Schizosaccharomyces pombe: one gene and its partners. Changing the gene in region 1 together with any one later gene gives a genetic interaction. Each region holds a gene or a part of one and is shown on either strand. Other genes may lie near its edges. The genes, in order: pfl5, pfl9 and mbx2.

What was found.
Region 2: of pfl5 (region 1) and pfl9, changing one enhances a phenotype caused by changing the other (phenotypic enhancement), as found in Schizosaccharomyces pombe (one study listed by BioGRID).
Region 3: of pfl5 (region 1) and mbx2, changing one suppresses a phenotype caused by changing the other (phenotypic suppression), as found in Schizosaccharomyces pombe (one study listed by BioGRID).

What each region holds. Positions count from the first base shown.
Region 1 is NC_003423.3:4,416,640-4,429,521, forward strand, and holds pfl5 (glycoprotein), read left to right. Parts: upstream 1-4,755; 5' UTR 4,756-4,773; coding exon 4,774-8,625; 3' UTR 8,626-8,969; downstream 8,970-12,882. Other genes in the region: Tf2-11 (retrotransposable element/transposon Tf2-type), read left to right, coding at 1-2,019; Cu(2+) amine oxidase-like protein Cao2, read right to left, coding at 9,596-11,980.
Region 2 is NC_003424.3:5,522,147-5,532,146, forward strand, and holds pfl9 (DIPSY family glycoprotein), read left to right. Parts: upstream 1-5,545; coding exon 5,546-6,526; 3' UTR 6,527-6,813; downstream 6,814-10,000. Other genes in the region: SPOM_SPAC869.01 (amidase), read right to left, coding at 1-962; SPOM_SPAC186.02C (hydroxyacid dehydrogenase), read right to left, coding at 7,816-8,814. UniProt on the Schizosaccharomyces pombe protein: May be involved in agglutination during conjugation or other aspects of colony formation. Induces flocculation when overexpressed.
Region 3 is NC_003423.3:3,622,192-3,633,020, forward strand, and holds mbx2 (MADS-box transcription factor), read left to right. Parts: upstream 1-4,447; coding exon 4,448-5,566; 3' UTR 5,567-6,467; downstream 6,468-10,829. Other genes in the region: SPOM_SPBP8B7.32 (uncharacterized protein), read left to right, coding at 8,186-8,410. UniProt on the Schizosaccharomyces pombe protein: Acts in transcription regulation. May bind to a MEF2-like typee II promoter sequence.

The DNA of each region.
Region 1 (12,882 bases):
TTAACACATCCACTCAATAATCTTTTGAAAAAGGATGTACGCTGGAAATGGACACCAACACAAACCCAAGCGATAGAAAACATTAAACAATGTTTAGTTTCTCCTCCGGTGCTACGACACTTTGATTTCAGTAAAAAGATTCTACTAGAAACTGATGCTTCAGATGTCGCTGTAGGAGCCGTATTGTCTCAAAAACATGATGATGATAAATACTATCCTGTTGGATACTATTCAGCAAAGATGTCTAAAGCACAATTAAATTATAGCGTATCGGACAAAGAAATGCTTGCAATCATTAAGTCTCTCAAACATTGGAGACACTATTTAGAATCCACTATCGAACCTTTCAAAATTTTAACAGACCATCGAAACTTAATTGGTCGCATTACTAACGAATCCGAGCCTGAAAACAAACGTTTAGCTCGTTGGCAATTATTTTTACAAGACTTCAACTTTGAAATTAACTACAGACCTGGATCAGCAAATCACATAGCTGATGCCTTATCCAGAATTGTTGACGAAACAGAACCAATTCCAAAAGATTCAGAAGACAATAGTATCAACTTTGTTAATCAAATCTCGATAACCGATGATTTTAAAAACCAAGTGGTTACAGAATATACGAATGATACAAAATTGTTGAATTTACTAAACAATGAAGACAAACGAGTAGAAGAGAATATCCAACTCAAAGATGGCTTACTAATTAACAGTAAAGACCAAATCTTATTACCTAATGATACTCAGCTGACTAGGACAATTATTAAAAAGTATCATGAAGAAGGTAAATTGATTCATCCAGGCATTGAACTTCTTACAAACATTATATTACGTAGATTTACGTGGAAAGGAATAAGAAAACAAATACAAGAATATGTACAGAACTGCCATACATGTCAAATAAACAAATCTAGGAATCATAAACCTTATGGACCTTTACAACCAATTCCCCCATCAGAAAGACCTTGGGAATCTTTATCAATGGATTTTATTACAGCTTTACCAGAATCATCTGGTTATAATGCACTTTTCGTGGTAGTTGACCGATTTTCAAAAATGGCAATCTTAGTACCTTGTACGAAATCCATTACAGCAGAGCAAACAGCTCGAATGTTTGATCAACGAGTTATTGCTTATTTCGGCAATCCAAAAGAAATCATTGCAGATAATGATCATATTTTTACTTCCCAAACGTGGAAAGATTTCGCACATAAATATAATTTCGTTATGAAATTTTCGTTACCATACAGACCACAAACTGATGGACAAACTGAGCGTACAAACCAAACTGTGGAGAAATTACTAAGATGTGTATGTAGCACACATCCAAATACATGGGTAGATCATATATCCCTAGTGCAACAATCTTACAACAATGCGATACATTCAGCAACTCAAATGACACCTTTTGAGATAGTACATCGCTATTCACCAGCTTTATCACCTTTAGAGTTACCTAGCTTTAGTGACAAAACTGACGAAAACTCTCAGGAAACGATCCAAGTATTTCAAACAGTTAAAGAACACTTGAATACAAACAACATAAAGATGAAAAAGTATTTCGATATGAAAATACAAGAAATTGAAGAATTTCAACCTGGAGACCTAGTTATGGTCAAAAGAACGAAAACAGGTTTTCTTCATAAATCCAATAAATTAGCACCTAGTTTTGCAGGACCGTTCTATGTGTTACAGAAGTCGGGTCCAAACAACTATGAATTGGATCTTCCAGATTCAATCAAGCACATGTTTTCATCTACTTTTCATGTTTCTCACCTAGAAAAGTATCGACATAATTCAGAACTCAATTACGCTACCATTGATGAGTCTGATATTGGAACAATTCTTCATATCCTAGAACATAAAAACAGAGAACAAGTACTCTACTTAAATGTCAAGTACATTTCGAATCTAAATCCGAGTACTATTATGTCAGGATGGACTACATTAGCTACAGCGCTACAAGCGGACAAAGCAATTGTCAATGATTATATTAAAAACAATAATCTAAATATCTGAGAACATATGACTTATCCTCAGATTTACATAGAAAATCTTGGGGAGGGCAATGTCAGCAATACTACACTACGCTATAATACACTACGTTGAGTATCACTATATGTCACATGTTCTAATTATATATCGTACCATGTATGATACGATATGGAGATTGATCTTAATGATAATCTATTAAGATCAATATTATCTGAATACTATAAATAGAGCTACTGCTGAACCTCGTTCCTCAGTTCAGTTATGAGCTATATTAGTGATAGGTAACATTATAACCCAGTTAATACAATACCTATACTCAGTTGCTACTTATACAACCTGTGTATTGTAATATAATAGATCACAAGGAAAACTCACCGCAGTTCTACGTATCCTTAAATCAGATACCAAACTGTGTAGCTTACACTTTCTATACAGTAACGCACTTGATCTTTTGCATTTTTAAAAGTTTCTATGAGGGATTCATTATATTTCTCCCCTTCCAAAAAAAATGTTGTGATCAAGGGAGGGCAATCGTTATTATAATAGATTTCTAAGTGGCTGATTACCAGCCGTAAAACGCGGTTAATTAACTTCACTTATGTTAAATTCACAAAAAAAGTAATGGCAGTGGTGGATTCTGAATAGACACTGATAGATGGGTTACAGAATCATATAGTGAAACTTTAACGTGCCGAAAACACTAAAAGTTATGCATCGAAATCTGAATTTGCCGACGTTATACGAAACATGCTCGGAAGGGTTTTGTCACATCGCGCACTATGACTAAGATTCGAAATTTTTCCACATCTATAAATGTTGCATAAATTTTTTACTTGTAGTATAATTAGAAGAAATGGAAGAATCATAGAAAAAAAGGTTAAAAACGTTGCCATTTTACGTTTTATAGAGTAGGAGCTTTAACTTCTATAAGCCATTCGTTCTCTGCACCACGATAGCTATAAGTTTTTAGCTATTGTAGTGCTACTAAAGATAGCCAATTGTGTTCAAACTTTTAAAAGTACTGCGTAAACAAAACAACAGCTTTTTGCTGTGAACGGCATACCCAATAATTATTTACTAGATTTACAGTACAACAAATACAGATGATGTTTAGCAAGAGATTTTGAATATATCTTTTACAAAACATCATGCTAACAAACTCTTCAAAGAATATTATTTGGAATTAATTTTACCGGCTTCGCATCTAAAATTGATGGGATCTGCCTTCAATATAGAAAATTCTTCATTCACGGAGAAAACGCAAATAAGTATTTTGTTCATAAAATTAAAAAAAAAAAAAAAAAAAAAAATTTGTGTTTCTAATAAATTCTTAAAGCATTATTATAAATTACATTCGTAAAATAAAAAATAAATAAATAAAAAATTAATAATATCATTACTATTGCGTCGAAGGTGATAAAACATATAGCATAAAGCTTAAAATCTAATGACTGAGTTAGCATTATATTTATCATCTAAAGGAAGCAGTATAGCGGTTAAATCATTCAGCTAATGAGACTATTAGTCGTTGAAATATGGTGTAGCTTTGCAAGCCAAATTTTCCATGAAAGAAGAAAATTTTTTATTGAGTTTTGCCGTTTACCCCTTGATTTCTGCTTCCATCCTAATAATCCGTATTCTTAGCTTTGTAATGCTGTGCGTTTTATTTCTATTTTCATGAACGGAGTTTTTAACGTAACGTTACCACCGGAAATTGCGGTTAACAGTAATCAAGTAGACAAAAATTTGTAATTAGGTTTAATTCAGTTTATGCAAATGTAAATCTAACTTCTATTATTTTCCTAAGGTGCTTAATTAAATTAAAGGTAAAAATAATTTGCTTTAGTAAAATATATAATTCAATCTTCATGTGATGAAATGCCTTTAGATTTGAAAACTGAAGATATTGGCTTTCTTCTGGGTTATAATCTCGCTAACAAAATAACGTTAACCTTACTCAAGTTAGATTAAAGTTGTCCCAATTGCAAAACCCTAACGATACCGTAACAACGCTAGATTAGTATTTGATATACGTTTTTACATTCCTTTCCTTATTTTGTATACATTGAGAAAAAAATAATGTATTCCACAAATATATTCGTACAGAAAAAATTTAAGTAACTCTAGTATGGTAGGCACATTATTGAATGAGCTGCATTTGTCGATAGCTTGCGATGTTATACCGTAATCTGATTGTTAATCCATCCCTATTCCTATTTTTATACTGACGGTTTGAATCCGAACTGACATACCAACATACGGTAGTTACGAAAAACCTGAGTTTACTCTTACTTCAACGTAATGTTTTTTTCTGAAATTGAACTATCAAAGGGTCGTGCTTGTAAATTTTTGAATTTTTTTATTATCTATCTTAACGTTTGATATTAAACTTTTGGAGGGGAGAATTTAGTAGCGCTCTTTGAAATATGCTTTTTGCAATCAGCAAAATATGCAAACATAAATTTATACATACACACAAGTACTCTAAAAATGTTTGTATAATTCATGCCTTTTTTGTTAGCTGTTCAATTTGTTCATATAAAAGTAACAGTAGCTCGTGTCCTAATATTGATGCTGAATGTCTACTATACCCCGATTGTTTATTACAGGTATTGTGCCACTATGTTTTCCCGACAGAGGACTATCAAAATTTTAAACCGGGCAGTCGGTAATTGGAAAAAATGGAGTCTGAAGTTGCATTACTTACTTGCTCATATACAAAAATAAAAGAAGTGCTTGTGCCATTATATTTGGGAATTTGCAGCTCATCACAACTTCATGCTAGTGTTTACAGATCTTATTTTTCTCGCTATCTTTGCTCATATTGGGAAGGCTACTGCAAAAGTATGGAACAGAAATGTACAAGGATTTCTTGATTTAAACTTGCCAAATGAATGTTCACAATACACAACAATTTACAGTGACGGCCCTAGTGAATATACTTCAACGTTGCCATACACGCACTCCTTTAGCAACGCAAGTGTATATACTACCTTAATTACTATAACAAACAGTCAATGCACCGGAAACTACTCAACATTGACAATATCATCACAACCTTTAATACATACTAATACTTCCATTTCCAAGCCTTCGCAAACAGCTACACCACAAAACACTAATACCACACAAGTCTCCTTAACCAATGGAACGACAACCAACAGTTATTCTAACACAAACTCCCTGCCAATTACAGATACTATCAATGGAACTACTGAATTAATTATTCCAACAACTAGCTACAACAACCAAAGCCATACTCTTATTTACAGTACCTACACCTCCACCTACCTCCCCAATTCTACAATTGACTTATCTATTCTACCACACTCAACAATAAGCACTCTAAGTACAGTCTCCATAAATGATACTAGCGCGTCATTGTCAAAAACAACTTCACCCACTGCTGGAACTATTACTGAGACGATTGTTTCTGGTTCTGTTGGATATACTTCCACGTTTCCTGCTAGTGGAACTACCTCTGGCACTGTAGAGGTGGTTGAACCCACTGCTGGAACTATCACTGAGACTATTGTTTCTGGTTCTGTTGGATATACTTCGACATTCCCAGCTAATGGAACTACCTCTGGTACCGTGGAAGTAGTTGAACCCACTGCTGGAACTATCACTGAGACTATTGTTTCTGGTTCTGTTGGATATACTTCGACATTCCCAGCTAATGGAACTACCTCTGGTACCGTGGAAGTAGTTGAACCCACTGCTGGAACTATCACTGAGACTATTGTTTCTGGTTCTGTTGGATATACTTCGACATTCCCAGCTAATGGAACTACCTCTGGCACTGTAGAGGTGGTTGAACCCACTGCTGGAACTGTTACTGAGACCATTGTTTCTGGTTCTGTTGGATATACTTCCACGTTCCCTGCTAGTGGAACTACCTCTGGCACTGTAGAGGTGGTTGAACCCACTGCTGGAACTATCACTGAGACCATAGTGTCAGGTTCTAAAGCATTTACTTCCACATTCCCAGCTAATGGAACTACCTCTGGTACCGTGGAAGTAGTCGAACCCACTGCTGGAACTATTACAAAGACCATTGTTTCTGGTTCTAAAACTTTTACTTCCACATTCCCAGCTAATGGAACTACCTCTGGTACCGTGGAAGTAGTTGAACCCACTGCTGGAACTATTACAGAGACCATTGTTTCTGGTTCTGTTGGATATACTTCGACATTCCCAGCTAATGGAACTACCTCTGGTACCGTGGAAGTAGTTGAACCCACTGCTGGAACTATTACAGAGACCATTGTTTCTGGTTCTAAAACTTTTACTTCCACGTTCCCTGCTAGTGGAACTACCTCTGGCACTGTAGAGGTGGTTGAACCCACTGCTGGAACTATCACTGAGACCATAGTGTCAGGTTCTAAAGCATTTACTTCCACATTCCCAGCTAATGGAACTACCTCTGGTACCGTGGAAGTAGTTGAACCCACTGCTGGAACTATTACAGAGACCATTGTTTCTGGTTCTGTTGGATATACTTCCACGTTCCCTGCTAGTGGAACTACCTCTGGCACTGTAGAGGTGGTTGAACCCACTGCTGGAACTGTTACTGAGACCATTGTTTCTGGTTCTGTTGGATATACTTCCACGTTCCCTGCTAGTGGAACTACCTCTGGCACTGTAGAGGTGGTTGAACCCACTGCTGGAACTGTTACTGAGACCATTGTTTCTGGTTCTGTTGGATATACTTCCACGTTCCCTGCTAGTGGAACTACCTCTGGCACTGTAGAGGTGGTTGAACCCACTGCTGGAACTATCACTGAGACCATAGTGTCAGGTTCTAAAGCATTTACTTCCACATTCCCAGCTAATGGAACTACCTCTGGTACCGTGGAAGTAGTCGAACCCACTGCTGGAACTATTACAGAGACCATTGTTTCTGGTTCTAAAACTTTTACTTCCACATTCCCAGCTAATGGAACTACCTCTGGTACCGTGGAAGTAGTTGAACCCACTGCTGGAACTATTACAGAGACCATTGTTTCTGGTTCTGTTGGATATACTTCCACGTTCCCTGCTAGTGGGACTACCTCTGGCACCGTGGAAGTAGTTGAACCCACTGCGGGAACCGTTACTGAGACTGTTATTTCGGGGTCAGTTTCTTTTATGTCAACGATTACTGCTCATGACACTTCGTCTGGTGCTGTCATAGTTGTTGAACCCACTGCTGGTACCGTCACAGAGACTATTGTTTCCGGATCTATTCCGTTTACCTCGACTATCCCTGCTCAAGGTACGACATCAGGAACTGTTGAGGTGGTTGAACCTACCGCTGGTACCGTTACTGAGACCATAATATCAGGTTCTGTTGGGTATACTTCCACATTCCCTGCTCAAGGTACAACATCAGGAACTGTTGAGGTGGTTGAACCTACCGCTGGTACCGTTACTGAGACCATAATATCAGGTTCTGTTGGGTATACTTCCACATTCCCTGCTCAAGGTACAACATCAGGAACTGTTGAGATTGTTGCACCTACCGCTGGTACCGTCACAGAGACTATTGTTTCCGGATCTATTCCGTTTACCTCGACTATCCCTGCTCAAGGTACGACATCAGGAACTGTTGAGGTGGTTGAACCTACCGCTGGTACCGTTACTGAGACTATAATATCAGGTTCTGTTGGGTATACTTCCACATTCCCTGCTCAAGGTACAACATCAGGAACTGTTGAGATTGTTGCACCTACCGCTGGTACCGTCACAGAGACTATTGTTTCCGGATCTATTCCGTTTACCTCGACTATCCCTGCTCAAGGTACGACATCAGGAACTGTTGAGGTGGTTGAACCTACCGCTGGTACCGTTACTGAGACCATAATATCAGGTTCTGTTGGGTATACTTCCACATTCCCTGCTCAAGGTACAACATCAGGAACTGTTGAGGTGGTTGAACCTACCGCTGGTACCGTCACAGAGACTATTGTTTCCGGATCTATTCCGTTTACCTCGACTATCCCTGCTCAAGGTACGACCTCAGGAACTGTTGAGATCGTAGTACCTACTGCTGGTACGGTAACTTCGACTACGGGTTCTGGTACTTCTTGGTTTACTACTACTGTTCCCGCTACTGGTACGAGATCTGGAAGCGTAATTGTTGTTTCTCCAACTGCTCCTGCTTGTTCTTCTACTCCGTTTGCTGAGTGTCCAAATCTAAATTTTAATTTTCATTCTAAAAATGTGAACTTTCCTCCCGCTGACATTAGGGTAATTAGTGTCACACCGAAGGGTAACAATATGTACGATGCTACAGTTCAGTTCACTACTTCTTCGACTATGTCGAAAAAATCATTGAGTGAATTAAAGATATTGGGATTATCTCAAACCTATCTCTTGTACTCATACAACTCTAAAGTGGACAACATTTCTAATCCTGGCAGCTGGACTTCAACGGTAACTGTTCAAGGTACAAGCACAGGTAGCTATATTTGCATGCCTCATTTCCAAATTCAGTATGATTGGTGTAGTGCTGGTGTTACTGACATGTCTGAATGTAATACATGGAGCTATCAAAAATCCTATGATTATATTACCGGGTGCAATAATTACGATAATCAAGGCAATTCCCAAACGGATGCTTCTGACTATTGTTGGAATGTTTGTTAGTTAGCTTAAGCATGTAAGCATCAATTTGTTCTTCTTTGCTTATAATATGCTACCAATTATAACAGCAGCTTAACTTTGTCACATCATTTTTTTTTGATGGATGTCTGTGTGGTTTACTTAGATTCTATACCACAGTTTTGTAAATTATTTGTTTTTTTGTCTTTTTTCTCGGCAGTTGGTTAAAAACTTAAACTGTTGTATGTTTAACTTGCATATGGATATGTTTTAATCTTAATTTTATTCGTTATGTTATATTTAATACCACGTTTTTCTTTTTTCAAAACGGATTTTATGTAGCTTAACCATTTTCTATTTTTCTTATAATAATATTCACAATCTTTTGCTCAATTGTTAGGCAATGATTTATTTAGTGAAGTTTTGATACAGGACTTACTGCTGTGTGTATACACCATTCATGAACTCTGCTTTTCCGAGCAGTGATTTAATAATAAAAATTTACAAAAAATGGACATTCACAGTTTCTAGATTTGACGTTTCATTCTTTCAAATATCACCCAAATTTTTTGTAAAATGCAAAGTATTTTCCCATTCGCTAGTTAACAATTATTCAATTAAATAAATGACGAATAAGCAGCATATCGGAATGTTCAAATACACTTAGGAATGAAATGAAATAACCGCCAGAGAACTTTTCATGACTTTTATATTAAAAGAGGTTTAAATGTGAGGTTGCTTTCACAAAATATTTGGTATTTCGTTGTATTTAATTACAACTTACCAAACGACATTTAGGAGTCCTTTTCATGAGCCTTCATGATAATAACATTTCCATTTTATCGCGCAATAAAACAATTACCAAATTTAGTTAATTTAAAGAATTAACAATTCATAATCCCATTAATTACTAAATAAAAACTTAGATTCGGGTGTAATATGTACCCCACAGTTGCTCAAAAAGCTTCTTTATACAAATAATATGCAGATTATGAGCTATTTTCGTTCATCTAATTTAATCATACTTATGATATCTAAAATTTCCCATAGCAAAATCATGAGTAACATCACTGATATTTTTCATCATGTCGACCAAGTGGCCTCCACTACCAGAATGCTTATGATATCCTCCATAAACATGACCAGTAATATAATGGTGGTGATGATGATGGTGATGACCTCCATTTGAACCGTTTTGACCTCCTTGCTTCTCCTCTGACTGGTTAGCATTTTGCTGACCCGGTTGTGCTAGTGTTTCGCTGCGACCTTCGTGTTTTTGGGCAGCATCAACAACAGGCTCTTTCGGCCTGCTTTCGTCTTTTTGGACGAAATGAAGCTTATCCTCAACGCTTTTATCATTTTTATCGGATACATGAGGTTCATAGTCATGAGGAGTGCTATGACTTTCTCTTTTTTGAGAAGTATCCCTCAAATTCTCATGGTGAGTGTTGGGGCTTGTTGCTTCAGAAGTAGAATTTACGGAAGAGGATGTATCAAGAGCGGGATTATGTTTAAAAAAATTGCGAGGTTGTAAAAAAAGGTGAATAGACTCGGCAGGCATAATTGGAAAATCTTCCGGAGCTGGAAAATGGATCATACCAAAAGTGTGCCAAACGACGATATCGGTATTCTTAATTTGTGCATTTGGATCATCGGATATCCATTTAGATAACCCCTTAGGCGTATCATCAGAGGCTTGGGGAGCATAATCACCAGTTGGGAAGATTTGGTCGTCCATGTAAGGAGTTACGTAAATATTATTTTCAGCAAAACCTGAACAATCAGAATTCGTAGTACCGGGTTGCGAGAGTACAGGCGATGTGTCTCGAGAAATAAGCTTATATGATACAGGTTTCCCAGAATACGGATGTAACTTATTCAAATTACAGATATCCCAGGTCCTACCGGTAGATGAATCATAGTTGCTGATTGCTTCAGTTACTGTCTCTGGAATAATATATTTTGATACTAGAGTACCATTCTTATCCCTTAATGCATCCACTGTAGCAACTGAATTCCTTAAACCATCAAGCATTGGGTTGATTCGAAGGCAAAATAAGTGCTCATGATTTTCAGCGCTGATCTTTGGATATACTTGTGTTCCATGACCTTTTAAGTCTTCATCTTCATTTATGGCGTTCGTATTCAAAATTCCAGTTAGTCTGATTTCACATTCGATAACTCCATCCATGCGGAAAATCCAGTAAACAAGGTATTCATAGTTGGCAGCAGTAAATACTTGTGAGACTACCAACTTAATACTTCTAGCTGAAATATTTGCATTGCGATCCCTGAGATCAGAATACTTAAAAAGCACACCGTCATCCTCTTCATGGATGCTAATTGCATTTTTTATAGTTGTTATTTCACCACGATAATTAACAAAATCAGCATCCATGTAATGAATAACACCTTCACAACCGCAAGTAAAAGACAAAGGATTTGTTCGGTATCCTACACCATATTCCCCTAAATCATATGCATGCTTTCGGTGATGCGAATGTCCTTTTGCCCCAAAAGGAACCGCCATTTCAGTAAGCGAAATTCGATAAAAAAGAGGGCGAAGGTGCCCATCCTCATTAAAAACTACGTCTGACAAAACAATTCCCTCTCTATAGTTGAACCCAATGTGAAAACAAAAGTTCTGCCATTCGATATAGCGTCCTTTAATACGAAAATTTACACCCTCTGGCTGAGTAATACGGAGTGGTTTAAGCATTTTCATAGCTTCCATCTCCTGCTCAAGCTTTTTCAAATTGTTATCCGAATTTACATCTTGAGGAATAGGACGTCTTACTTTGGGAATATCAATAGCTATCACCTTTTTCTGATCAACATCAATTATAGGACAAAAATCCAGCGGAATGGAACGAAGATGACCACTGTCGCCGGGTTTATAATACATTAAAGCTTGCTGAAGCCTCCGACCAGAACCGTAGCGCTCGTCATAACCAATGGTCCAAGGGTCGCAATAGACGTTAGACAATCCACTTTCAGGAACGCCGCATATTTTGCATTGCTCGATTACATTTGCATCATTTCTTACAATTTCATCAGTAATGGCTAGTAGATCCGCTGTAATTATTGGGCAAGTATCAACGGAATGCTCCCATTTCTCTATTTTTCCAGTAGTAAGGTTGACAATTCCTTCAAATACTCCAGGAACTTCTTTTTCTAGTACAATCACGTAAGCCCTTCTGTCGGGTATACCTTCATGAGCAGAAGAATATCTCCAATGAACGTACTCTTCCTTATGTGGTTCACTTAGCGTAACTACATCAAAAGAAATTTGTTTTTCAGGATAGCTTTTCCGAACGAGGTTTACTACGTATCTTAATTCATTAAAGCTCAATGGGTCCAATGGATCAAAGTACTCTGCAGCTTTACTTTCTTCTGCCATTTTGTTCAATTGAACTCAAATAAAATAAAATTGTCTTCAAATTCTGATAATTCGTTAAATAATTAGTCTTCTTGATAGTTTCACCGAATACTGCCTTGCTATAATATGAAATGTTGTGCCAACATTTAGCGGATACCCTCACTACTTTTATAAAGTACGAAAAATTAGCGTTCCGCCCTCGTGTAAATACCGTACCCGCAACCGATTAGTATGACGAACTGCTGTAAATCCTTACCCGTCTGGTGGGATCATTAATCATACGGGAGTGAAGCTACGATCGTTGGACCCGTAATCTTCGCAATCGCTAATACCTGAAATTGCCCCGTCAATATTCTTTTACAATCTAAATAAATCGATACTGACGCAATGAGCGCACTTACAACCCTAATATATATGCAGTAGCTTGCAATTGAAATGTAGCGTGTATTACAATACTCTTGTCTATGCAATATACAATCAACGTCTTATAATAAACAAATGGAATCCTTATCATTTTCAATAAATCATACTTCCATTGTTCAATAATAAATACAAATTTCTTGCATTTAATGGTTAAAAGTTAATAGCAATGAGGGCTTCCGCAAGTTGAAATGGAAATGAAGGCATTAATTCTTGGGATAACTGAATTGAGAAGCCTTACTTAATGAGTTAAAAAATATAATAACAATAAGTAACAAAAATTCCTTCCATTCATCGGCATCATTATATGCATCATTTTAGCATAAAAAAGTTAATGATTGTGTGTTGCATCCCATGTTGGTCGAGTTTACAGCAATAATTAACAAGACATAATTACTAGTAGCTCGATTCCAGAAACATTCAGATAAAACTGTTATTCTACTAGAATACTAGATAAAAAGGTAGTTGAATTTTCAAGGCTTATTGTTTTGTCAACCTTTAGT
Region 2 (10,000 bases), on another chromosome or scaffold:
TAATCACCATCTTCAGGAGTCTTTCCTGTCTGGTTCAAAGTGTAAATATCATTTTCATCAATACCCCACATAGACTGGAAAACATAAACAGCGTCTCGAACTGTTCTGGCAATTGGGCCTGTTGTGTCTTGGTGTTCAGACTCTGGAATAACGCCATATCGAGAGGTCAGTCCTACTGTGGGCTTCAAACCTACAACCCCATTTCGCATGGCTGGGTCAATTATACTTCCATCAGTTTCAGTCCCCAATGCAAATGCAATCATGTTTGAGGCAACTGATATTGCGGACCCAGATGATGAGCCGCCCGGATTCACTGTTAGATTAAATGGGCACCTTGATTGCCCACCACGTGCAGAATAGCCCTCACTGTAGTCATTAGACCTCATATCTGCCCATTCTGAAAGCGTCGCATGTCCAAATAGTACTGCCCCTGCCTCTCTCAATTGCTTGACTACGTACGCGTCTCTAGGAACGATTGAGCCCAACAAAGCATAAGAACCAGCTGTGGTGTCCATCTTGTCTTTTGTTGCAAAATTATCTTTCACTATAAATGGGATACCATGTAGTGGTCCTCTAATTATCCCATTAGCTCGTTCATCATCTAGTTCCGAAGCAATTGTCAATACGTCAGGGTTAAGTTGTAGAATTCCATTAACGTAGGGATTTACTTGTAGATACCTATCTAAGTAACAGTGAACAATATCAGTAGAAGTAAGAATTCCATTTTCCATGTAGTTCTGCAGCTGATCAATAGTAGCATCCTCTAGCGTTATATTTTGACATTTGGGCATCGGAAAAATATTGGTTGAATTTGTATCAGGATATACGTATGTGGTGAAATTGACTTCTTGAGAAGCAACTAATGTACTATTTGTAGTTGTTTTACTTGACTGAAGTAATGGGATAGCAAGACCGTGTTTTGCTAACTGAGCTAGTGTAAGAAACAAAAGTTGAAGCTTCATCCTGTACAGAAAAAATCAGTTCCTTAAAGGGGAAGCAAAAAAAAAAGATATCTACTTTAAGGGTTAGTTCATTACTTATATATACATTCTTTCTTATCTAATACCGTATGCATCACGTCCCTCAGTACTCTTATTACAAGATTGTATCTAAAAATTTTAATCTAATCAATTTTTTGTGAGCTTTGCTACGCTTCGACCGATAGTTGGGAAACTGGGCAAAACGGACTCAACTTTTCCGCTATGATAAAAACCGATAATAAAAGCAAACGATATCGGAGTATCGGAGTGTGAGAAATCAGTCATGTGATAGATCAGTCCTTAAAGTACCAAATACCACAATAAAAAGCATTTGCGATGTTTTCAGGGTGTAATTTTTTTTTTATTTTGTGTGCTAATATTAATGGCAAACGGTATATACTCTTTTGCAAAATATATTTTGCTTTGGATTTTCTTAACCATAACGAACGAAAAACTTAAAACATTATTATGTAATGAGCAAGGAAACTTTATAAAAAAAGTTAAAAGTTGTTGAGGGTGAATTGTAAGGCGACGTACTTTAAACGTGACTTTTTTCAATACTAATTGTATAAAAAGTTGCCGGTCCTTAAGCAAACCAAACCCCAAGTGAATTGATGTGTTGATTTCAAATGAGTAGCCTATTTCAAAGCACCTTGCTGCGTTATCACTAATATGATTATAAATCTATTCCGATTAAACAGAACACCAATAATAGTATGTCTAATACATTATTTATTTTCGAAATATTTATCAAAGCAGAGTATTTCATTTGATAAATTCCTGTTTTTGGTTTTCGAAAATTAATAACTGATAAATGGTGATTTTTCGTTACCGTAACACATTGGTGCTCCTATTATTATATGTTAGTGCTTCAAAGTTTAAAACCAAATTTTGCATTAACAGTTTTTCTTACCTGAATACTAGTGCTCACATTTGTTTATAGCATTTGCAACTATTATGGCTTACACATTTTTAAGAACTACGTTTGAAAATTACTTTTATTTTGTTTTATTTTTTAATTGTTCGTTTTAAAAACTATTGTCCTTAGTGCTGATTATGCCATGTTTCTATATCAAGTGCTCATACCTGAGCTTCTAGCAGCATTGATTCCCTTTTTAATGTTCATTCTATATAAAAATCAAAATCGATTTCTTGTTTCGAATAATCGATTGTAACTTCGAGACCACACCATTTGCTATTTTAGGTTAAACAGAATTTGATATAAGGAAGAAGCAGTTTTCCCTTCAAGTTCGGCATGGCTTGTGATGGAAGGAAAATTTATCCGTTATTTTTGAAATAGTACATTCCTTTAATTAGTGGGATAGAAAATGATGGACGAGGCATGCCTTTGGAAGGCATCTTATATCATACTTGAAATACATATATCTTGGCAGGATCTTTAGGAGTTGTACATGTAATTTGAACTAAAATGGATTGTGCTTTATTTACGTTTTTGTATAAAAATACGATGCATGTCAGCACAATTTGCAAATACGTTTTACTTCCAACCGCGCATGCAAGATGGAATATATGATGCTCTGCAAAAAACAATTGTCAAAAACCATAGTCTTTTAAGTCATAATATAATTATTAGGGAGCTATGGAGCAAAAAAAAAGAATTATAATCAGGTAACTATATGATTATTTGTTGTCGATTTATAAAAAGACATTTGTAATCTTTTGTTAAGCCGAAATGTTTATTAAAAATTTTATAGATAAACTATCCGTTTTAAGATCATTTTTATATGAGAATAATCTTTAGTAAGACTATTTTTTTATAAAAAAAAGCTTTGAAAAAACCGTCAAGAGTTTAGCTAGATGACTGATTTATAGAATATATCTAACATAAGAAAAAATCCTTCATTTTTCGTAAGTATTTTATGATATGACTTATTTTTCAATAACAGAATTAACTTTGTTTTAACAATACATCACTGCTTACATGCGAGCTTCACAAAGCAAGTATTCGTCTTTTTTCTGCGAATTTCATTCGATTAAAGAAGTGAACTATACATTGTTGAGTTCACCGACCCTAACCCTAGACAAAGGAATTGGGTAACATACATTGATTATTGTGTTTTATACCCTATCAAAATTGTTTGAGTAACTTGAAGTGTAAAATGAATAAAAGATAAATTGGTAATAACTTGCTTTAGTGTATTTCAGGCCGATTTAAGTAAGTTTTTAATAGTGTCAAACCAAGTTTGCTCACCCGAGGGTGTTCTGTGGGAATCTGCTTTGTTTTTTAATAGATTATATAGTTTGGTTTGTAAGGGTTTATGAACGCTAAACAATATACCGTTTGTACCTAGCGGGTAGGTATCACACGCCGTTCCCGTGGGTCCAGATGACAGAAGTGACGGGACTGCTAAATATAGCGGATCGTTTTTTAACGATGAACCTTTTTCTTATCCGAATTTCGAGCTAAACAGCTAGGTATTAGGATTTAGTGAAGTTTCAATCTTTGGACGTACTTTAACGGGAACACAATTGAATTATGGATTACAGTGGGATACTTAAGTTCAAGCTTTGAGAAAACGAGGAAAGGCGTTAATCCTTTGTATTGACAATAAGAAGTGATGCTCAAGAAATAAGTTTTAATGCTAAGTTGATTGAACTGGTCAATTAATATTTGATAAATTTTTTCAATCTTATTGTAATTTGATGCATTAAGGTTCGTATAAACAGCTTTTCGATAGTTTGTGAAATAAAATGCAGAAGTACTCAGTAGTCTGTTACAGAATTTATGTTTTTGGTGTTATTTGAAGACAAAACCTTAATGGATTCGTTTTATACCTGTAAATATACTATCCAATTCTATCAAACGTACTTAAAAACAAATACCGATTCATAGAATTTGTTACGATGAAATATTTCTAATAATAGTATACTAATTGCAAATAATTTACCAGGTCCAAAGTCATTGATCTGGACTATATTGACATTCCAAATATTAATAGTATGTCTTAGCGTATATAAAAATTAAGAAGACTTCAACGCTAAGTATGGATTCAGCTCTTTATTTTGTTATAAAAAAATAACTCAATGCTAAACAATAAAATAGCCGAGCAGTTTTCAATTAAGAATTGTCTAGCGAAATTTCATTAAACAACCTAAATCATATGGAGTTTTTTTCTTTTTTGATATTTGGCTCAGGCAAAGAAGAAAAGTTAAGAGTGGTATTTCTTAATAAATTAATGTCTCAAAAAAGGAATAAATTTTTTTTTTAAAATGCTAAATTTTAAACGTCCTCAGTTGCATAGATGAACTTTAAATGATAAGCGAACGAAATGCAATCGATAAATCATTGTCTCTTAGTAAAGTGTTCGGTTAAAATGACTGACATTTCGTCCGAAATAATATCAGTGTAAATATCATGGGAAAATTTCGTGTATTTCTTTATTTGGAATGCGCAGCAAAGTATCAAGAGAATAATTAGTGTTTTATATGATTTAATTTTATTGCCGGTACAATTGTATGGTTGTTCTGATAAATATACATGCTTTGTCGGTTTATCACTCTGAATAAATTTGTGATATATATTGGTTTATTTATTCAATCTATGTATCATGTAGTTGATGCTTTCATTTTTTTCATAATTTTAAAAATATCAGTTAATCATTTATTCAGCAACTGTAACGTTAAATCATTAATATATATATCTATATCGGCATGCATTAAGTTGCTACCGTTAAACATCTTAATTAAAACTAGTCTTTTATAATAACTAACTCTTTAATTTTTTGAAATTAGTTCAATTTACTGTGGAGGGCAGTCGATTGATAAAAGCTTTTCGATTCACTTGTAGCTTTAATCGGTGCTCGTTGCATCAATATTGGTTTATATAAGCCAAAGCTTTCATGGCTATTAATGAGTGATGCCGGTTTAACTACTCTAAAATGTTTTGAAAATGATAGGTATGTTTTGATTTGCTTCATCTTTTTATTTCAGTATTAACAACCTAGTAATTAAAATGTTAACAAAAAAATTTGACTACCTTTTCGAATCACATGTTTTCAGTGCTAAGTTGCCTCCAGACTGTCTGCAGTGAGTATAGGTGTTTTATAAGAAATTTGCTACATAGTATCAAATCAATAATATGAATGTAGTTTTATCAAAAAAATATTCATTAAGGCGACTGTACTGAAAGAGAAGTAGGTTAATAATAGACTCTTAAGAAAATTAACGAGAGGCGTCAATTTCTGTTGCTAGCATATATTGCGAACTCGATCGGTATGTGAATTACTACGAAAACATGCGAGCCGCGTTAACAAATGTGCATTGCCTTGTCTTAAAGTAACTAAGTTTCTCAGAAGCAGTATAAATAGTAGACTACATTAATTTCGAAGTTCCGATAATGATCTTTTTATAGAACTCAAATTTTTTAATTTGATATTGAGAATTCGAATAAAAATAACTATGGGATTAACAATAAGGGGGTTTCCGAAATTTTGGGTACTGGTTTTATATGCGCAGTTTTTGTATAAATGAACAGGCCTTCTCACACGTCTTTTCGGTTCATATTTAGCGATCAGAAGTCGTTAAAAATTTTTCTCCTATAAACAATGAATGTGGTGAAGTACATAATTTTTAGCTTTGCTCTGGCGCCTTTGTTATTAGTTAACGCGAACACATATAATTTTACACAGATACAAAAGCGAAGCGTAAACCAAGCTGTTCTTGAATCAAGTCAAGATACCAATTCAGTAGGCGGTGAAGCTTCTTCAACAGCTTGCCCTTTATTCACTACTATTTACACTAATGGTATAACACCGGGAACTACAACGATTTATCCAACATCTATCTCGACATCTGGCGTATCTAGCAACAATATCGATGAAACTTCGGTATCCTCTGAGTCTATCATCACATCCACTATTACGACTACTATAACATCTGGTTCGCAACTCTATACTACTACCATTACCGGTCAAAACACACCTGTTGATACCGTTGAAGTGGTAATCCCTACTGCTGGTACTTTCACAACTACATTGACTTCTGGATCCAGTTATCCTGTCGCAACAACTACAGTGCGAACAGCTTCTGGAACACAGTCAGGTGAAGTGGAGGTTATCACACCGTCCTGTGGATGCAGTCCTGAAAATTCATTCCATCTTAAAATAGACAATGATAAAATCAGCCCTTCCTACGTGTACATGGATCCAAACGCACCCGTGAGAACTAATGGTGCCGGTCGAGAGGGGAATATGTTTGCTTCAACTAATGGAGACAACGAGGGACTAAACCTTTTCTACTATGATTCCACTATTCAACGAGTATTAACATGTGATTGTCAAAGACCGTCTTACACTGTATACATTGAAGATCCAATTATAGGCAATGGTTTTTCAAGTGCTTGGAATCTCATTAAAAATAGCGATGGCATATTTACTCCTGTTGAATCAAGAAATAATGAGCCACTACACTTTCATGTAGATAACAATGGAAGAGTATGGATGACTTCACAAGAATATGATACAGAAGTTTCATCAACCGACGAAAGAAATTTTAGGGCCAATGATGTTACACTTCAACTGTATTAGTTGAAGCAGCAAATTTAGAATTGCACATACTCTCGTTTAATTTTTTGTATTTCAGGTCATACATATAATTTTTTTTACATTCATTTGATATAATATTTTAAAATTACAATCCATGAAATCCTTTATCAATCCCTATTGAAGATGTCAAGAAGTTGACTTCCTCGGATTTCATATTTTTCTCAAGTTCTGCTGTAAACTGAAAATAGGGATATTTAAATAGTTCTTAATTATTTTTTCCACTAGAAATTGATTGCTCTACTAATAAAATACTGTTCCAAGTTATCGGCACAATTATTACTTTCGTAAACAAAATTTGTATTTTATTTATTTTTTTTTTTTTTAAATTAATCATAACTAGTGGTATTAGGAATGCATATTTTAATCTAAGTTCAAATTAATTGCTTTCATAGTAATCATTGATATTTGTTAAATAACTAGGTTTAGGTAAACCGTACTAAAATTGAACAGGAAAGGATAAATTTTAGTAAATTTTGTAGATTATGCTTTTCGTAAAAAATAGTGGTGGCCGGTTTTAAAGATAAGTTTGGATAAACTGGTTATAATTTCCTTAAGTGAAATTTAATCACTTAAAAAAATATTAGATCTAAATAGTAACTATAGACAAGTTTTGTATAAGGAAAATGACAATTAAAGATAAGGAGCTAGACTAGTCTAGCGCTTGTTTTGAGTTTAATATTAGACCATTCAGAATTTTTTTACTCATTATTACTAAAAAAGAAAACTTAAGCAAGAATTTAAATTGTGGAAAGTCTCTTTTACTTATTAATAATTGTAAGCAATAAGGATAAGAAAATCAAAACAGTTTTTTTTAAAAATGTTTCTAAATTTAAAAAAAAATCTAAACCATATGCTGCGTTGCCTGTAAATAGTGTATCTAGGTCGGATGAGATTATTGTTTTCAACTTTATTTCTTCGTTTTGTAAGAAATGAACTATATTGTTGTAGAAATAGAATAACGTTACTAATCTCTTGAATATGGGTTAAAAAACAAAATTCACAATAATTAGAAAATTTTTTACCTTTTTATAGTTTTACCCAATTATTTACTAAAAATTATTGTAGCAACTATTTTAAATAGTAAATGGTGGATTTTCTATCAAGCAGTAGGTAAATTATTGCAGCATAATACTGAACAAAAGTTTTCATTTCATTTTCAAGTACTCACGAAATTTTTATTGAATTGAAAGAAAACTATTTTGTATATGAAAGGCGCTAAAAAATTATATCTTCATTATCACTTTTGATTCAAGAGACTAATACTAATTTGCTTATTTATTTGCGATTACTGATTCATCAAGACTATTAGTATAGAAATCGGACGCACTCTTCAATGTGGTATGTGCAATGGAACAGAGAGCTTCTGTAGTAAAAAACGCCTGATGTGAGGTAACCAAAACGTTTGGAAAATTAACAAGACGTTGAAACGTAGAATCCTTTATTACTTCGTTAGAAAGATCCTTATAAAATAAGTTTCTTTCACCTTCATATACATCTATTGCACAACCTCCGACTTGGCCGGAGTCGATGGCGTCAACCAACGCTTTCGTATCAATTAAACCTCCTCTACTAGTGTTCACAATTGTTACTCCCTTTTTCATTAAAGCTAGGGAGTCAGAATTCACAATGTGCGTTGTACTGGGCGTTAATGGGCAATGGAGGCATAAAAAGTCAGCCTTCTTTAAAACCTCATTTTGCTCAACAAATTGAACTCCATAGTTTTCTAACTTCTTATCCGGATTGATATCGTAAGCTAATACATCGCAACCAAAACCCATTTTAAAACATTTTGCAACATTACTCCCGATTTTCCCAGTACCAATCACTCCCACTGTTTTACCATGTATGTCACATCCAAGTAGTCCGACAATATTGAAGTCATCTTCACGCACCCGAACATAGGCACGATGAATTTTACGATTAAGAGACAAGAGTAAACCAACAGTGAATTCAGACACAGCAAAAGGCGAATAGGAGGGGACGTGCACAACAGTTATTTTATATTCGGACGCTGCCTTTAGATTAACGTTGTTGTACCCCCCACAACGAAGAGCGACCAACTTAACACCATTTTCTGCCAAAGCTTTTAAAGTATCAGCATCTACTTGGTCGTTCACAAACACACACACCACCTGTGCTTTGCCTGCCAAAGAAACTGTATCTTTGTTCAATGAAAAATTGTGATATATTATTTCATGGTTAAAAGTTTTGTTAGCTTCTTCAAAAGGCCCTCTATCGTATGATTGACTACTAAAAAGGACAACACGCATTGTTGGAAGCAAAGGGGTAAAATGTTATGAATAGAGGAAATAAAAGTTAAAAGCTGAGAGATACTATAAATAGTTGTTCAGCGTTCGCAATGAAGTTCTTATGAATGATATTAATCAACCTAATCTTTGGAAACTTATTACATTTAGAAATTTAATTTGCCCACGAGAATATAGTCGATATTTGTTATAATATTTTTAATACGTCAACGGTATGTAATATATCTATAGTATTGCAGTGATGAAAGTGTTCTGTAATAAATGATAAAATTAATTTATTATTGCAAAGTAATATATTGATTATTTAAATTTCTTTTTATCTTTTTAAACAACCATATGATCCTAGGTGTATTTCAGAAACTATGGGGTAACTAGGTGCAATATTTTTTATTTTTTATTGTCGCCACGCAAGTCGCATATCAACTATTAATGATAATTTGAATGGTCTTGCATATACAAATTAATTGGTGATTTGATGTTTTAAGACTTAGTAAGCCATACAATAATAAGAAGTCGATTGAATTTCTAAAAGTTTAATCACTATTATAGGTGCATCGACGCGATGCTTATGTTCATAAAAAAAATTGAAATTGCTGTCAACAACAATGCATAAACAAACTATTTGTTAATTTCAGTATAGGAAAAAAAATAAAGTTTTCGAACATATTTTGGAATTGCGGATTATTTTAACTGAAAGACGAAAAAAAATGTAAAAATAATCTAAAAACGTCTGTGGTGCATATTTTGATTTTAATACATCTTTCGTCACTTCAACAAGCACTGCAAAACTGATGAAATTCTTTGATGCTTCAGTTCTTCATGGCTCAAGCCACTCAAACAAGCTTTCTGAATAAAAAAAAGGTTGTAAAAAAACCGACGACGTCTGAATAAGCGGTAACTAAATATGAATTTTCACGAATTTATAGAGAATACCTTGGTTATTCCGAGTTTTAACAGAACTTTGTGTCAGTGCTATATTTGTTTTTATACATAAATTAAGAGGGACGATGATTTACTTATAATATAGAACATTGCCAAAAATAAAAAATTTAGTTGGATTTAAATATCCTTCGGACACAAATCCATGTTACTTTCGTAGTTGTAAACAATCAATCATACCGTCATTATGTAATAGTACGAAGAAGTACCAGAATTTTTTAAATTATCAGCAACTAGCACCTGTGGTCAT
Region 3 (10,829 bases), 790 kb from region 1:
CTGCAGTAGGAGTTGTTTTACGCTCAAAACCTGTGTTTGTATTCTATAACTATTACTGAGGATACGAAGACTTAACAAGGAAATTGTTTTTACTTTGGAGAGCGTATACTCAACAAACCACTGGTTACATGGCTAATATTTAGTAAAAAAAAATAACATTTAATGAAGATCCCTTATAAAGAGCCTAAGTTATTTCGTAATGGAGATGGAAATTCATTTGCACCATGCTTAGAATTTTGCGAAGTATCGATTTGCCGTTCTACGACGGCGGTAAAAGGTGGTATCGAGGAATGGCATATTTAGTTTAAAAGTAATTACGATTCCGTTTAATGTCTCTTACAGTAATTTCATACAATTGTGTTAAACCATTCTTCTCCACCAAATTAAGCATCGATTTATTAACTATTGGATTGATATGCCATGTGCTTTTTGACTGCCTATAGCATTCGAAACGAGAATTGCATAAAGAAGAATAGCATCGAATGAAAAATAGCTAATTAAATGCTATTAAACTCAAATTGAAAAGCAAATAAAAATTGCCATGCATTGACTGTATTGTTGCTAAAAAAAAAAAAACAACTAATCTAAGGGAAAGCTATACCACCGAGCTGTTTAAACTGGTGCGCTGCAGCAAGTTTTCTATTTTAGTATACGGCGAGAAATTGATAGTTGAATGTTCTGGACAACCGACGTTCACAGGACATAAAACAAAAATGTAGGGCTGCTAGTCGTTTCCCAATCTTATTCCATCAAAACAACAAAATATGTATTCCACAGGTTGCATTGATTTTTTTCGGTAAATCCTTTACTAAAATGGAATGACTTTCGGTAAAATAAAATAGGGTACCGGGAAATGATATGTTATCTTAACATTTTGAATGAGACCGACTAACAGGAATATTTTTTAATTTTGTCAGAATCGAGAAATTTAGGCAGAAATAAAAGCACGATATTTGACTTTTTCATGATTGATTCAAAATACAAGACTTTTTCTCCGAGATAAGAGATAAAGCATTTGGGTCATTAAGATGAAGTGGTAAAAGCCATAAGGAAAATGGTTTTTGGTTTTAATTATAGCATATTTAGACAAACGGCCTTCGGGTATTCTAGCACCACTGCCTCTTTTTTTGCTAACAGGAAAAATTAGCTTAAATCTAAAAACCTTAAGCTGTTTGCCCACATTTATCCTGAAATCGTGCTGAAACAAATGGTATTTATTTGGATTAAGTTCAACACTTTACAGAAGCGCAATCCTAAAAATGGTGGAATAGATAGACTGTCTTGGATGGGTTAACGAGGTCAGTTCGTCGAAGGGTTCGCTAAAGCGTAGATTAAGAAGTTAATTCGGTAGTATGCTATCGCTACGGTACAGAACTGAATTTAAGGTCAGCCAGAGTTGCATGTATCCCGTGCTAGCCGAAAAAAAGTAATCCGTACTTAACATTCGAAAATTTCGTTAGTCATTTTGTCTTGAAGCTGGGAGTATTCTGCACATTCCATTTAATATGGGGGGTTTTGGTTTGAAGCTCGGTTCTACCGATGTTTAGACGGGCCGATAATGCGAAGAAAAAATAATGATGTTTTCCGTTAAAACTGTTTTCAGATATCAACAAAAAAAATGTTTTCTGACAGAAAACAAAGAATCTGTTAAGAGATAAAGCCATACTTTTGGTAGACCATGTAAGACGGGGTATGTAATACGGGGTAGTACGAATAGATGTAAGACAAAGCTGTGCATAATTCGATTTGTCGCTTACACGGGTATATATGGACAAACATCATATAGTGCACAAAATAAACAAATGTGTGTTTTCTTATACATGGAGCCACGGAAAGTTCCGAGACAGATGCCCTTTTACGGGCTTCAAGTACCGATACGGCAAAAGTCCATAATCAAAGTCCTTTATGTCCCACTAGCTTGATTAAGCTAATTCGGCATACCCCAGGTAAGGAGGAAGAAAGGAAGGAAGGACAAGGTAAGCAGTCGCTGCACACGTCAATTTCGTGAGTCAGCACTACTGAGGCTGTCCATTAAAACAAAGGTAAAGGGACGGCGGACAGAGATGGATTGTGGCGATGATGTTTTTTGATTTCCAAAATTCTCACTGTTTCCATGAGTCATGGCATGCATTCACATCATCGTTGACTCTCCTCTCTACTCACTGACTAACAGTTTAAAACATGTTGCCCCAATCGTAACACTTAACGACCGATTAAAAATGATGAGAATTTGTCAAGTTCATCGTTCAACCCTAGTTTCCCCCAATTCCTTCCCGTACTCCTAAGCAATCATGTAGAGAGGTAGATGAGAAACATCGAATGGTTTGCCTTTTCGTAACAAGTGCTGAAAATGATAGGCGGATGCAGTGTTAGCACGAGTGTAGACGACTTTGAATGAGTGGTATAAGCAATAACGAGGCTCAAGTCAATATTCAGCCTCCTCGCGAATGGTTGCGCACGTAAACTATATCGCAACGAAAGTATGTCAGTCGCCAGATAGGACTACTCCTAAAGTCTAATCCAAACTACTTCGTCTAGCTATACTAAAGTATAAGCAGGTCGTAACGGTCGATTCATTGCGAAATCAAATTACTCATAAGCTACCTCTCTGGTTATTTTTTCCCAATGTACTGTATTCGTATTGTACCCCATTCTTACCGGATACATTTATTAATAGAGCAAGTTACGAAAAGCAAAATCAGAGCGAGTCTATTTTCGGACTTGTGTGTCTAAGTATAGTCAAGGAGCGGAGACAACACTCGTAATATTGTTCCTTCACGCCCTCCTCCCCCTTTCCCCTTTGAATTGAGTATCGTACACTGCATCAGTAATAGGGTCAGCGTTTCCAATTGACTGACTGGTTGAAAAGTGAAGGATTACATACGAAAATCCCTAAACGCGATCATCAGCGCATTCCGAATTTTCGTATCTTTCTATCTCTTCGATTCTTTCTTTAGCCTTGCCAAGTATTTTGGCTGGCCCATACGCTTTGCCTGACTATCGCGTCTAAAAATAAAATCCCCTTTCCAAAACCTTGGATTAGGTGCATGGGATTACTATGATTCTTTCCTAATAATTGCTAATCCCGCTTTCTTTCTATTTTTTTCTACTATTACTGCAAAGTCAGGTTTGCAATCCAAGTGGACTTTAACCATACTCAAAAGGTACCTTCTAACCTTCTTTCCATTATGTCCATCTTCCTCCTCCAATTAAAGGATTTTCCTACTTAGGGCTCATTTAATCGAGGCTATCCCACCTTTTTCATGAAAAAGTATTCGGCCTTGTGACCTCCCCTTTTCGAAAAGAGAGATGAAGAAATAGTTTAAATTACCCGAGTAGCCGAAACGGTGAATTTTCAGAATGTCTACATGAGGAACATAATGTACACTTATACGCGTTTGTATATTGAGAATTCATCGGTAATGTTGGCAAAGTGCTACGCATCTTCGGATAAACGTGAATGGAAGACATTTAGCCCCTAATTTTGGTGTACTTATGCAGGAAAAACCTATCCCTTAACAATTGCCTATGGAGGGAAAGAGAAAATTTTTTTCGTTCACTATTGGAATTTATTTTCTTTTGCATAAATATGTACAATGGTATGTTACGATGCTGGCGTCGATACTTGTCTAAGTTAGAACGCAGTGTGTATTACGAAGGTTGCATTAAATAGACGTTGCGGTTTCCTAGTTATTGCTATCCCTGTATATATATACACATATATATGTACAAAAACACGTATTTACACGCACTTATAAACGCACACAGACAACAAACAAATACCTAATTTTATAATTTCAAGTTGTTGAGACAGATTAATTTATTTATAAAACTTGGCGAGAAGATATTTTTAAACCTGACATTGAAAAGGAGGGGACAATTGTTAAAAATATAGCTTCAAAGGCAAAAATTTCTCCAAAGTGTTGATTCTTCCTCTTTCTATTTTAAAAATAGCACACAAAAACATCTAGTCATTTAATTTGTCTTTGTTCCTCTCATTTGTAAACACTTGAAAACCACCCGTTCCGGCTATCTTGTTTACTAAAAAAATTTTTTCTATTAATATCTTTAGTTTCGTCGCCCGCTTCAACCCAGAGTACAAAAACAAAAATAGCTTCCTCGTTTTTAAATCTCAACTTAGATTCGTCTAATCGACTATCAATTACGAGCACAATTGGAGAACTTTGCGCTCTTGTTTTCTCAAGCGAAAAATCTACCCTCAAGAGATCCGGTGCAGAGAAGGGAAGACAGGGATAAAAACTGTTACATAAATTCCAAGAATAAACCCCATCTGCTGTTTTCTATTTGTTCCTTATATACTTGCCCGTTTGCTCGCTCGTTTGCTCGTTTGTTTTCGTCATTCTCCCTATACCTGAATTTTGGTTAACCTCGTCGACTCTTTTTCTCTTTTCTCGTCAAACCTTACTAAATATATACAACGTCTAATATGGGGCGCAAAAAAATCTCCATTGCACCCATAACCGACGATCGTTCAAGGAGCGTAACTTTTGTCAAACGAAAACAAGGTCTCTACAAAAAGGCGTATGAACTCGCTGTGCTAGCCGATTGTGAAGTCGCCGTCACAGTCATTGATCGGAAAGGACGTTTGCACGTCTTTTGTTCCTCTGACTATCAACGTACTCTTCAACAACTCAACACTCTCAGCATATATGAGTTAAAAAACCGTTCTCATTTTTCGTCATCGCCTGTCGAAGAGTCAAGTACCGTGTCTCCAGAAACGACAACTGGTTCATTTACTCCTCTTAATAATAAGCATTTGAAGTCACAGGACCAACCTTTATCAGACTCCCAACTCGACACTGGTGATTCTCCTGCAACATCGGAAACGACTGTTCAGGACTATAATCCTCAAGTTCAGTCTTACTGTCGTCCCGAGCCTTTATCGTCTAATCACGTTCGTTCTTGTCCTCCATTTCCTCCCACACAACATCATCATCCCCATACTCGTCCTCCTCATCATCCACCTCATCCTCATTTTCATAACAATAACTATCCACCGCCCTATTGTTTCCAATCTCCTGTGTCTCCGGGTGCTACAGTTCCATTGCAACATCATTCTCCGTACCCTAGTGATAACGGCTTTCCTGGTCATCGTAGGCAAACGCACTTCGCTCCTTACTACTATCCACAAAGAGCTACGTCTCCTTCTTTGAAACAAGTTCCAACTTATCTGGGTACTCATGTACTGCAACAAGACCAGTCCACCTATGATCAGAAGGTCCTTATGCCTCCAGCAAGTTATCTTTCTTCACCTAATCAATACACCTTAAAAAATGTCTCTCCTGGTAACCCGGCTTGCCCTCCTTTTCTCTATGAACATCCAAATCCACAGCTAACGCCTGAGATGTTTGATGTTAAACAAGGCTCACCTATTCCGCCTACTGCGTATTCGGGTAGCAGTTGTGAGACTTCTCAACATACCATTGCGAATACTCCATTTTTGGCATATGATCGCTCTCCTTCCTTAACGAATCAAGAAGCTGAATCATCCTTCCAAGACGTAGCTTCCATTAGTCCACATTCACTCAGTGATGTCAAATACTAAAGAATATCATAGAAGTCAATCTCCCTTTCAAATGTCTTCATCATGTGTCCTCCCTGGATCTAATGAATCGTATACAAGTAATAATTTTAGTTGGCATACATCTCGATCAAATCCTTACAATCGTTTTCTTACTCAAACTGCATATGATTTGGAGCAATCCAAGCACCAATAGTTTACTGCCAAGCTGTGCGATGCCCATTTTTTTAATTTGACTTACATCGCATTCCAGTAAACAATTGTTAATACTAGGTCTATCAATTTATCGTTATAGTTGAATTACGCGAACGAAATTACTGACCTAGCAATAATTGAAGTTTGGAATGTTGTTCAATAAAATGGACACCTACCGATAGCTTATGGATTCAATGTGAACTACAAACCTAGCATGATTTCAGACGCTAGCAAATACAAATACCTGAACATTTCAGATGTGCCAATGGTTTAACTTTGTTAACTTCCATCTTCGGTATTTTGGATCCTCCCTGTTATGAATTCAAGATGGTGATTTTCGGTTTAAATATTTATTTGCAAACTGCGGGCAGTTTATCACTTATTTATTCAGGCACGCATTTTGTCTATTCAAGTGGACTAAGTTTTTTCGTGATTTTGTTTTAACCACCTCCTTCCACTTCATTAATTAATTCACCAACATGTAACATTCGCGGACCAACCTTTATGTTCGCATTCAAATTTTTTTTTGGAGCCGCTAATTTCTAATTAGACGTTTCTCATTCGTTTTCAAGGTTATACATGGTTTATTTTCGTGTGTTTGACTCGATTTTTTGCTAGATTTTTCACGGTTTCTCCTTTTTAATCAAGAACGTTTGACGATTCACAGAACCTTTTTCAAACCCCTAATTACAGTTTTCAACAATAACATGAGAAATTCGAACTTTCCGTGTAGTTTTACAGAGTAATGTTTAAGTGTTTGTTAGTATGTCGGTGTGTAAGTGTAGCGTAGCGATAACCGTCCAGCTTCAAAGGTAAGATGCAGGGGAGTAATGCAGCAGCTAATTTTATATGGCGGAATGAGCATGGTAGCACTCTTCAAAGAAGGTGGAATAGGAATTTGGCTTCATGCGAAATTATGTTAACAGAAACCTGAGTTTCTGTAACATATTATTATATACGTGGCTTAGGACATCCAAACAAATAAATGAAATTCTTTAGTATAAGAAGATGAAGAAGATATAAAAGATTACCAATGTTATGCAAACGATGGAACATGAATCAACCGCATAAAACTCAGTCGCTGTATCAAAAATGACCATCGTGGGATGCTGACATAGGCAATCAAGTTTCTCACTTCAAATAAATTAGAGACTGATTTGGCAAATATTTGAGAATTGATCCTCTATTTGACAAATCATTTTAACTTATTTTATGACAGACAAGTCTGTTTGTATTTTGGGAATAAAACCTCGCATTATCCAATTAAAACGTCTGTTGCGACCACCGGCTTAACTTAGAACAATTATAAAGACTTCCAGAACAAACAAAAGTAATAAATTGTCGTAAAGCGACAATTATGCAAACTTTTTACCCTGTGGGATAATTACCAAAAAGATGATCACAAGTAACGTAAGGCTATGTCTTTCAGGTACAAAACAACTGACGAAAGGTGATAAAAGTATTAAGTAGAGGCATCTGGATGCTGGGAAAACAAATTGGAAATTTCGTAGGGCAGTTTAACATTATTTAATGGGAACGAAAATAGAAAATAAAATATTGCAAAAAGAATGGCGTGGGTCTTACTAAAAGACGCAAATTAGGGATATAAGGCAATTAAACTGCAAATTTAATGCGAATAAAAACAATAGACAACGGCTTAGCAAGTGAATTTACAATACTCGGATTTAGATTTTGCGCGAAAAAGTAAATGCATTGGTCAACAGGAATGCAACCAATGCAAAAAGAATTGTCGCAACCTTGTTAAAAAAACAGAAATGTTTGTTAGACAGTTACAAAGATAGCGATAATCGAGACCAAAGTGTTCCTAAAAATTCCGATCGGAAAGTCAGTAAATCTCGCATAAGGTGGTGCAACTTTGCTGCATACAAGAAACTAGCAGCCCCTGGCCATTTCAGCTTTTTCAATTTGCTTAGAGCACAACACTAAGCAAAGAATCTCTTTCTTTTATAATAGCACAACTCCCAAATGATTATCACTTTTTCTAAAACAAATTAATTGGATACTTCTAAAGTATCCAATTGTAATAAGAAGTCTCAGAATAATCCAACAAATCATTTCAAATATCAGGACGCAGAAGCGAGCATGTAGAGAATATTATTCCATCTCAATACTCGTTTAAAAGGCAAGCGATTCAAAAGAATGGTAAGGGTAGTGGATGTTTGCATGCTGATTTGGAAGGGCTGCGGATATCCATGAGAATAAGCATCGTCTAATCTTTATAGGTATAGCAGGAAAAAGATGAACTTCTTATGAACGGTTAGCACAGAGAACGAGGGAGCGAATTTTTGATTTAAGTGATACAATGCAAGTAGTCTATAAATTTGGTCCTTTTTTAGAACTCCGATTGTCTCAAAGAGTGTAAATATACACGCGAAAACTGAAAAGGTCCGACTAAATTTTCGCAGCCTTCTCGGCTTCTTTTAACACATGGAAAGCAATTTTTTGCTTTTTATTGTTCAACAAAACCTTTTTGATCATTATATCATTTCAATTGTCTCAAATAGAATTATAGGAATCAGAGCAAGCACTAGAAAAGTCGAGTACCAATTTTTTCTAGCTTTCAAGAGCTTTCCCTCCATCATGGGTCGAACAAGTCCAAAATTTCATATAATCAATAAACACTTTTTGAGCCTTTTTAAGCGGGAAAAATGACAGTCTTAACGATCACAAAAACAAGCAAAAATTGCAAAAGTGTTTGGGATACATTTTTATAGATTTCATGGTTTCCTCGCTAATATGGTGAAAAAAAATTTTATGCTTTTCCCTACGTCAATCCAATAAAGACAATTAAACACCAGAATAGCACTGGTGTATTTTTTCTGGAATGCTGTATTTGAGACATACGAAGAGGCTTGATTAATGTAATGGTCAACGAACAAGTAAGTGTCTTTTCTCTCCTCGTGAGTGTAGTGACCGTTGAGGAATCTAATGGTGATTCAAACTTTCCAAACGAAGAAAGTTTTTAACTTATACGCTACTACACACAAGCATTACTCTCATGCCGTTCCCCCCAAACTTATAGGTGTCTCACGACTTTGAACAAAGCAGGCAAGTCACTTGCTTATAGGAATACGCTCGTATAAATAAAAGAATCTCGTTTTCCGACCCCAATTATCCCCTTCCCAATTGTGGTGTCGAGGCCTTTTTATGCACATGATCTTAATAAAGATTTAGGGGATGTGGGGTGTTATTTCGCAACTTGGTCAATGTTTTTCTAGTGTACCTCTGTTAGCGAGGTTATGTAGCCCAGCGTTTGTTATCTAGTAGCACATTTGACGTTGAGGTCGTTGTAATGATGAAACAGGACACGAACATGTACCACCGACATGCATAGCTCTTTATTTGGCTGCGACATGGGTTACCTAGGTGGGGAGTGGTACTGTTGGAACTTTATATGAATTGCAAACAGAAATTTTTCGTTGCGTTGATTCAGTTTGAGACATTACAAATTATGTGATTCGTTGGAAATGTGTAGATCCGAATTATGTATTAATGTGGCTTGCTTTTTTTCCTTATTGGTTTGATCCTGAGAAAGTGCTGAGATGGAATGACTGAACCTTGCTAGTAAAAACTAGTTTTCCGGGATCGGCAAACATGTTTTGCAATTGAAAACAAAATCTTTAGCTGTGTTAGTAATTTGCAATTAGCAACGCGCAAATCCTGCGATGAGGATAGTATGTGAGTTGCTAATTGCAACATCTGAAGCATTCTGATGTGTCCCATTTTTCCAAACCCGGATACAGGCGGCATTGAGAAACACCACAAACAAAAAATTTCCAGCAGTCGCAATGTAAACAATGACAGGGTTAGCCACATATCTGGCTATAATGGTTAACTAGCTTGTTTGATGATGAAACTAGTTGAAAATTAAAAACTGCGAAAAAAAATTCCTTACCGGGTTAACTCAATTACTCCCATACACCTTTTCCCACCAACTTAACAAAAAACCCATATCTCTCAATATGTCCGCTCCGTGAGAAGAAGTAATACTTTTTTATGCATTCGGCTAAATGCAACCCTGCCTTTTGAACATCCCAATTGGCGAGTTCTCTTCAATGTTAACCAACATATCATGGCGTCCACGACAGCACATTACGGCAAAATTCTACCACTGATTTCACACTTTCACCTACTGAATTTTTCATACCAAGTAAGCCTACAAACTAGACTATTTATCTTATAGGAAATGTATTTTCCCTGATACTCTTATCAATCAACGCCTACTGGTTTGTTTGAGCGTTTTTTCGTTCAATAATTCAACACTTTCACTACTAACAATTCACCTATGTTACAGCTTTGACTCCTTACTTTCCCTGTCTTTCGGCTGTTCCACTTTGACCATCGTAAGCCTATTTTGTCATTACTGAAGATGTCACTACACGTTACATTAACTAATGCAAACGATGTTCCGTGCTGCTTTTTTTATTTCTAGCTCTACTGTGTTGGTATTAAGTCTTAGTCTGTTTATTTCATAGTGGTCTCAACAATGAATCTGGTGTATTCGATTTATAAATTTGTGGTTCGACATTGAGTACGGATGACCCTGTATGAAATAACAGTCTCCTGAATCGCTTATGATGATCCTTATCGTGTTGTTCGACCTTTCCAATTCCGGGGTTGTTACCTTATGTCCACCTATTAGTATGATTTGCGCCAGTTCATATGATGGAATTTGCATTGGAGACAGGTTGAACGATTTTTCAGGTTATTTTGCGGACTGCTTAATAAATGGACTTTTTAAGACATGCACTCATAAAATCCTTCTAAATTCTGATTCCGTAGGTATTTGAATGATGGAATGAATGGCTTCCATGATAGCGTTGAACTTTACATGTGGTGAGTTTGATGGGCAAGAGAAATCATTTTCTACGTGTTCGTTACCTATGTGGAAATCATCAGCAAAGATTTTTTAGACCTTAGGTTATAATACCTCGGTTATTTTAGCAATTTGCACCCGATGTTTAGACCCGAAAAGGCCATCAATCAAAGGACAGTTTTCCTGCAAAAAATGACAACCATAATCCATCAGACATGTTGATTCTCCTGGAATCTTCTAAAAATAACTAATATA